Linked DNA regions of Arabidopsis thaliana. The protein of the gene in region 1 purifies or fractionates together with the protein of each later gene. This does not show direct contact. Each region holds a gene or a part of one and is shown in the gene's direction. Other genes may lie near its edges.

Region 1 (3,752 bases):
GGCCCAATGATTGACCTGAAACCGCTTGATGTACTCACTAGTCACACTCTTCTTTTGGTTATCTTTGTATTTAAACCTGAAGCCTATTCTTTTGATCTTTGCAGCTTTTGGAGGCTCTATTTGTGGAATGTAGGCGGCACGGAGAGATTATGGTAACGAAAGGGATTATAAATTCAAAAGACATTGAAGAAGCTAAATCTAGCAAAGGCAGTCAAGTGATCAGCTTTGGCTTACCTGCTTATTCTCTTCTTCACGAGCTTTTACGCTCTATCAAATCTAACTCCACCGGTTTATTACTCGGTATGTTTCAACAGTTTTCTGTCAATTTTCATAACCGCATTATCTAGTAACTATTTGAACATCATCAAGAAACAAACAAAACCGTTTCTGTGTTTTTGTTTAGGTGACGGTGTAACGGAGATAACTACCAGAAACCGCCCAAAAGATGCGTTTTTTGATTGGTTTCTGAATCCGTTTTTGATCCTTAAAGACCAGATCGAAGCTGCAAACCTATCCGAGGAAGAAGAAGAGTATCTTGGTAAATTGGTATTACTCTTTGGAGATTCAGAGAGACTTAAAAGCTCCATTGTTGAATCTGAATCTCCTCCTCTAACTGAACTCAGAAAAGCCGAACTTGATGCCTTTGCTCGCAGGTAAAAAAGGCAAAAAAAAAAACACACACAATCTTGTTACGGCTTTCTACTTCGGATTCTAAGATGTGTTTTTGGTTTTGGTTAGGCTTCAAGGATTAACCAAATCAGTATCAAGATATCCAACATTCAGAAGACATTTTGTGGAACTAGTCAAGAAACTATCAAATGATCTAGACAATAAACATAACCGTTTTGAAGGCGGTTCGAGATCAGTTCCACGTCCCGGGAAAACGGTGTCTCGGATTTTCAGCCAAAAATCGTTCAAGAAAAAGACAAGTAGCAATGGGTCAGATCAAGATTCACCAAACAGAGGGTTAAGAGACATTGATATTGTGTAAGTAAATGTTATGCGACCAGAATTAGACCGAAACTTCGTCTGCTTTTAGCTCTGTAATGATAAATTTATACAGATTCCAAGTGAATATGAAACTGTTTCATTTATCTAACAAATGTTTTACATTCAGCTTTTGCTTGATGATGTGTTGTTTCTCAGAAACAGCAGAACCGTTTCTTCTGCAATAGAAATAGCAAGCTTTTAGTTTTTCTTTCACTTTAGACCTCATTTGATCTAAAACATAACAAACATAGGCTGATGTTTTCGTTAGTCATAAAATCTTGAGCAATTGGGATTAGAAATGTTACCGTAGGTTCATCTTGAGATTTGTTATTGTCACGGCGTTGTGAGGCGGCACGACCACTTGCGTTTGTCTTTTTGTCGTCTCGAGCTTTAGCGAATATAACCGTAAATCCTTCGGCTGATGCTGGATCGTTCACGTCCCATTCTCCAAATTTTGGTAATGGTCGATCTTGTTGTTGTCGTTGTTGATTATTCTGAAAGTTTCCAATCACAAAAATGTTTGATTTCTATTATAATCCAACGAAAACACACATGAAAATGCTATTTTTTGTATCAAATTTGTGAAACAAATGAGAAAGAAATGAGAAAGATCTTACCGATGCCATTCAAAGATTGTGTAAAAGATGCAAACAGAACATGAGATGATCTTTCTTCAAACAACAAGAAAACTTGTTTGTCTTCTCTTTTAGTTTTTGTTTTCTTAAAAGAATTTGATTACGTTTAAAGAATTAGAATTTGAGAACAGATTAGCGTTTTCTGAAAGTTTAAATATAGGTTAACGTTTTAATTATTGTTGAAACTTGAAAACAGAAAACACCAATCTTTTGTAGCGAAACGGAACGCTTTTTCTCGTACCGTCTTTTGTTTTCGAGTGAACTTCATCGTATCAAAACTCGCCACGTGATCTACACACTTCTCGAGGCGAACACGCGCATTTCAGAACTTATCCATTAATCTCTGTGATTAACCTATAAGCCGGTATTTATAAACGGTCACGATTTTCCAAGTTTTTTAATCAACGGTCGTTATTACGTAGACGAAGCTAAGCCTCACATCTACAAATACGTATACATACATTTTTACATAATAATTAATTAATAATTACAGGTTATTAACAAATTAATCATTTTTAATAGACTATTAAAAAAACAATTTCATTTCATTTGCTCTCTTCTCCGAGAAAATGGCGTTTGGTTTGATCGGAAGAGTTGTTGGAACCAAATCATCACGATTATCCACGGCGGCGCGATTGATTCCGGCGCGATGGACATCAACAGGATCAGAAGCACAATCGAAAGCTTCAACCGGCGGCGGAGGAGCGAGTCTGAAGACGTTTCAGATCTATCGATGGAATCCAGATAATCCTGGAAAGCCAGAGCTTCAAGATTACAAAATCGATCTCAAGGATTGTGGTCCAATGGTTCTAGATGCTTTGATTAAGATTAAGAACGAGATGGATCCATCGCTCACTTTCCGTCGCTCTTGCCGTGAAGGTATTTGTGGTTCGTGTGCTATGAACATTGATGGATGTAATGGTCTTGCTTGTTTAACGAAGATTGAATCTGGATCTAAAGAGACGACGATTACGCCGTTGCCGCATATGTTTGTGATTAAGGATTTGGTTGTGGATATGACGAATTTTTATAATCAGTATAAGAGTATTGAGCCGTGGTTGAAGAGGAAGAATCCAGCATCTGTTCCTGGGAAAGAGATTTTACAGAGTAAGAAAGATAGAGCTAAGCTTGATGGAATGTATGAATGTATTCTCTGTGCTTGTTGTAGCACGTCTTGCCCTAGCTATTGGTGGAACCCTGAGTCTTATCTTGGTCCAGCTGCTTTGCTTCATGCCAACAGGTAAACTTAATCTTGTTTTCTCATAATGGATTCACTAATCAAAGTAGTTTTTTGAAGATATTGTAGGGCTTGTTGGTAGTTTACATTAGTACGTTATATGGGGTCACTTAGATTGCTTAAGTTTCTGTAGTTGTAGTTTAGAGCTGAAGGAAGGTTCTGTTTTGAGATTTGCTTGAGAATTTTGTTGGTTTGAGCAGTAAGAGTTGGTAGACGGATTATGTATGGCTTGGGTTGTTTTACTTGTTTTACATTCATTATGCATTGTCAATAGGGTTGTTTTTACTCCTTTAGTGTTAGTGTGGTACTGTGGGTTTAGCTCTTTGTTCACTGAGGAAAGGTGCTAAGGGATCTTTGTGCTTCTTCACCTGTCTGTAGAAAACCCCAAGTTCAATGGTCTGATTGTATCCATGTCATTATGTATGGTCATTTAGGTTGTCTTGCTCCTTTAGTTGTAGTGTAGTTTAGCCTACTTTGTTCAACTGAAATGGAGGAGGTATCTCTGAAGAAAGGTGCGAAGTACTCTTTGTGCTTCTTCATCTGTCTCTGTAGAAAATCTCAGATTCAACGGTCTGATTGTAACTTTGTCATTATGTATGGGCGTTTAGGTTCTCTTACTCCTTTACTGTAGTGTAGTTTAGCTTTATACTGAAATGGAGGAAAGGCCTCTAGAGTAAGCTGCTAAGGACTTTTTGTGCTTCTTCAGATCTCTAAATAGAAAACCGCAAGTTCAACTATCTGATTATATCTGTGTCATCATGTAAAGATATATACTATATAGGTTGTTTCTGTTCCTTTAGCTGTTGTGTAGTTTAGCCGATTTTGTGCAATTGAAATGGAGGAGAGACCTCTAAAGGAAGGTGCTGAGGACTCTTTGTGCTTCTTCAAAT
Region 2 (3,752 bases), on another chromosome or scaffold:
AATAAGAAAGCTACTTAGACGGGAAGGAGAATTGGCTGTCTATGGTCTCTCCAACGCATTATCTGGTTTCGAAATGGACGAAGAAACACGGAGTAAAATGCTTGCTGATCTCGAGAACTATGCACGAGGTATTGTTGAAACCAAGGCAAAGGAAGAGGCTGGAAGAGCGATGATGCGCATGAAGGATAGGTGTCACCATTTTACTTGTCTTTCATCATTTCCTTGTCCGATAACTTCCATCTCTTACAGAGCTTTCTGATTAAACAAACTTCTATCCAGATTTGCTACAATCTTCAGCCATGATTCTGATTCAATGCCACGTGTTTGGACTGGAAAGGAGGACATCAGAGCAATTACAAAAATGGCTCGTTCTGCGGTATGAGACCTACCTGATATAGCAATATCTCAGCACCTATTCTTTGAATCAATCGCAAATTTCTCGAGATTTTGATATGACCCTTGTTCTCTTTTTCAGTCCTTGAAGCTGCTGTCTGTTATGGCTGTTATACGCTTGGATGATGAACTCGACAATATTGAGAAGACATTGACGCTAGCTCTGTTTAATTCTACGGGCAACAATGCTACTAGCAAGAGCATCAGCACAATTGATTCACTTGCCTCAAGCACTTGGGAGAAGGTGACTAAAACCTTACTCACTGTATATAATGAAAACACAAAAGGTCTCATATTTAGTACTCACACCTTTGAGATATAAAAGATCCTTACTGTTACCTTGTTATTATCAGGTTGCACCAGAAAAGACGTTGATCACACCTGTGCAGTGTAAATCACTGTGGAGGCAATTTAAGAACGAGACAGAATATACCGTTACACAGGCCATTTCTGCACAGGTAATCTTTGCAATCCACACTTTCAAGCATATCTTCCGTTTGCTCATTCACATGAGCTGATGTTAAAATTTGGCAATGCTACAAAACGTTTTTGAATATCTTTTTTTGGTCATGTCGTTTCTAGCTTCTTGTCTCCTTTCTCATCTGTTCTTTAATCAGCTAACACCCGGAAAAATAATTGAGGTTTCAATCTGAATAAAGTCTCCTTGGATTTCAGGAAGCTAACCGACGGAATAACAACTGGCTGCCACCTCCATGGGCAATCCTTGCCCTGGTTGTTCTTGGATTTAATGAATTTATGACTCTCTTAAGGTACCCTCCTTGTCCATTCTTTTGAATTGACTCGGCGGCTTTTTCATACAATCAAGATTCCGTACTCACTTTGGCTCTTCGTGCCTGCATCTCTCATGGCAGAAATCCTCTATGGCTCTTAGTTCTATTTGTCGGATACCTTGTATCCAAAGCCTTGTGGGTGCAATTAAATATTTCAGGAGAATTCCAAAACGGCGTGGTATGAGCACGATATCCAACATCCATATTTTTACTTTTGCCCCTGTTCTTCATTTGATCTCAATTATAATCTCACCGAAATGCCAATGTTTCATCTATGATCAACAACAGCTACCTGGACTTCTCTCTTTGTCAACCAAATTCATTCCAACGGTCATGAACCTCCTCAAAAAGCTTGCGGAAGAAGGACAAGCACCACCCACAAATAGCAACCAATCAATGAACTCTACAGCTCAATCCGAGGTTACAACCAATGGAGAAAGCAGCAGCAGCAGTAGCTCTGGTTCATCTCCAGCAAAAAACGTACCCATTGATACAAGTGCATAGAACAAAGAAGTATACAAGCTTAAGCTGTTGTGCTAGCCCACGAAGCTAGAAACTTAAAATTCGTTACCCTTTCAAAAAGGTAGCTCTCAGTTTTGGTGTTGATCAGAGAGATTCACCGAGAGCCATATGTTTTATGTCTCCGATGGCATTGGTTCCCTCTTGCAGGTGTCAAAGTGATCTTGTATGTTCCTAGACTAAGATTCTGATGCAGACAAAAACAAAAAAACTCATGATTTGTTTGCGAGTTCTGTAGTGATGTGGTTATTGTATCTGATAAAAAGAATGTTACTTGAAGAAAAACCGGTTTTTGATTAAGTGAAATTCAGTTTGGTTTTTGTTGATTGAAGAGAATTTCAGGTTCTCATTGCAAGTTTATAGTGTAATCATGTTAGCATAGAGTTTTTGGGCCATTGGAAAATTCATAATGGGCCTAAGATAACGGATGAAACTGTAAACCTAATTATGGGAGATGCAGAAACAGAGCACAAAGAAAGTTCCAGACTATTAGCTTTTCTAAAAGAAAAAAGTTTCACTCTTTGGAGGTTGGAACTTAATTCCTTGATTAAGAAACCCCAGAAAAACCCTAAACCCTTGAAGCGTCTCCTTCTCTAGTTCTTTGCAAGCGGAAATGTATCGAGTGCTATCAAAGTTATCTTCTTCAATTGGGTACGTTTCGTTCTTTCATTCAACGAACTTATTCAAAACTTGTATTTTTCTCGATCAATATTTTTTGATGAGCAGAGCTTAATTTTCTTCTTCCTCTTTCTGGGTTTGATTGTCTTGCAGCTCGTCTACTTCCAGGAAACTGGTGAGTTTCGTGAACTCTCTCTGTCTTTTTGCGAGTTTGATTGCATTTCGTTTATGGGCATTCTTGTTGGTAACAGAGAAATTGCTAGAAATGTGTCAAATTACTAGTCCTGATAGTTTATGCAATGAAAAAAATAGGGTTTACATCAAAATCTCCACCTTAAGCTACTTAATTTGCAAAATTGCTCTGCTTTTATTGGTTTCAGATGCAATAGAAGATCTTCTAGTTCCGGAATGATTAGCTTGAATTGGCCGTACCCTGTATCAAACTAATTAATTCCGATTTTGATTTTCTTTTGGTGTTCTCTCTTACCATGAAGGTTTCTGGGCGGATTATAAGTAGCAGAAACTATGCGGCCAAGGATATCAGTTTCGGGATCGGAGCTCGGGCAGCTATGTTGCAGGGTGTATCCGAGGTTGCAGAAGCTGTGAAAGTCACTATGGGACCAAAGGTATATATATTTCGTTCTCACAAGGTTTAGATCAATGTAGAGTGGATTGTTTTTGAAACAGTCTTCAAATTCAATATCTTTTTTTTTTAATTCTGTGGTGTAGGGAAGAAATGTGATAATTGAGAGCAGTTATGGCGGACCAAAGATCACAAAGGATGGTGTCACCGTGGCAAAAAGCATATCATTTCAAGCTAAAGCTAAGAACATTGGTGCCGAACTCGTCAAACAGGTTGCAAGTGCCACTAACAAGGTTGCTGGAGATGGTAATATTTTCTCTTTTGAGTTCATAATCATGGATAAGTTTTTATTGAAAACATACGGTGAAGAGATAATAGTAAAGTCTTAATTTCTGCTTGCCTTCCTTTCGTTATATAGGTACCACTTGTGCCACTGTTTTGACTCAGGCGATACTCATCGAAGGCTGCAAGTCGGTGGCTGCAGGTGTAAATGTGATGGATTTGCGTGTTGGAATTAATATGGCAATTGCTGCAGTTGTCTCTGATTTGAAAAGCAGAGCTGTTATGATTAGCACCCCAGAAGAGATCACACAGGTGAATTTAGAAACATATTCATAAGTCAGGAATTGTGAATGCTATACCAAAGGTTGATCTATTACTGCTACTGCATATGTTCCTTTGATAGGTTGCCACTATATCTGCAAATGGGGAGCGTGAAATAGGGGAACTAATTGCAAGAGCCATGGAGAAAGTTGGAAAGGAAGGGGTTATCACTGTTGCTGTAAGCTTACTTTTCTTTTCATGCCTTATAATAGATCACTTGATGGTTGTCTGATCGCTGTGTTATT

What was found. The genes of interacting proteins can lie anywhere in the genome.
Region 2: the proteins of SDH2-2 (region 1) and HSP60-3A purify together in Arabidopsis thaliana (affinity purification with mass spectrometry, with the first as the bait; one large-scale study listed by BioGRID). This does not show direct contact.

The regions. Positions count from the first base shown.
Region 1 is NC_003076.8:16,279,268-16,283,019, forward strand, and holds the start of SDH2-2 (succinate dehydrogenase 2-2), read left to right. Parts: upstream 1-2,126; 5' UTR 2,127-2,194; coding exon 2,195-2,865; coding exon of another isoform or gene 2,866-2,869; exon of another isoform or gene 2,870-3,722; intron 3,723-3,752. Other genes in the region: AT5G40640 (uncharacterized protein), read left to right, coding at 1-30, 105-300, 404-653, 739-991; AT5G40645 (RPM1-interacting protein 4 (RIN4) family protein), read right to left, coding at 1,143-1,166, 1,296-1,484, 1,608-1,616. UniProt on the Arabidopsis thaliana protein: Iron-sulfur protein (IP) subunit of succinate dehydrogenase (SDH) that is involved in complex II of the mitochondrial electron transport chain and is responsible for transferring electrons from succinate to ubiquinone (coenzyme Q).
Region 2 is NC_003074.8:4,563,698-4,567,449, reverse strand, and holds the start of HSP60-3A (heat shock protein 60-3A), read left to right. Parts: upstream 1-2,114; 5' UTR 2,115-2,316; coding exon 2,317-2,354; intron 2,355-2,474; coding exon 2,475-2,496; intron 2,497-2,815; coding exon 2,816-2,947; intron 2,948-3,050; coding exon 3,051-3,210; intron 3,211-3,322; coding exon 3,323-3,498; intron 3,499-3,589; coding exon 3,590-3,685; intron 3,686-3,752. Other genes in the region: RHD3 (Root hair defective 3 GTP-binding protein (RHD3)), read left to right, coding at 1-189, 280-376, 476-637, 747-851, 1,069-1,163, 1,266-1,362, 1,473-1,688.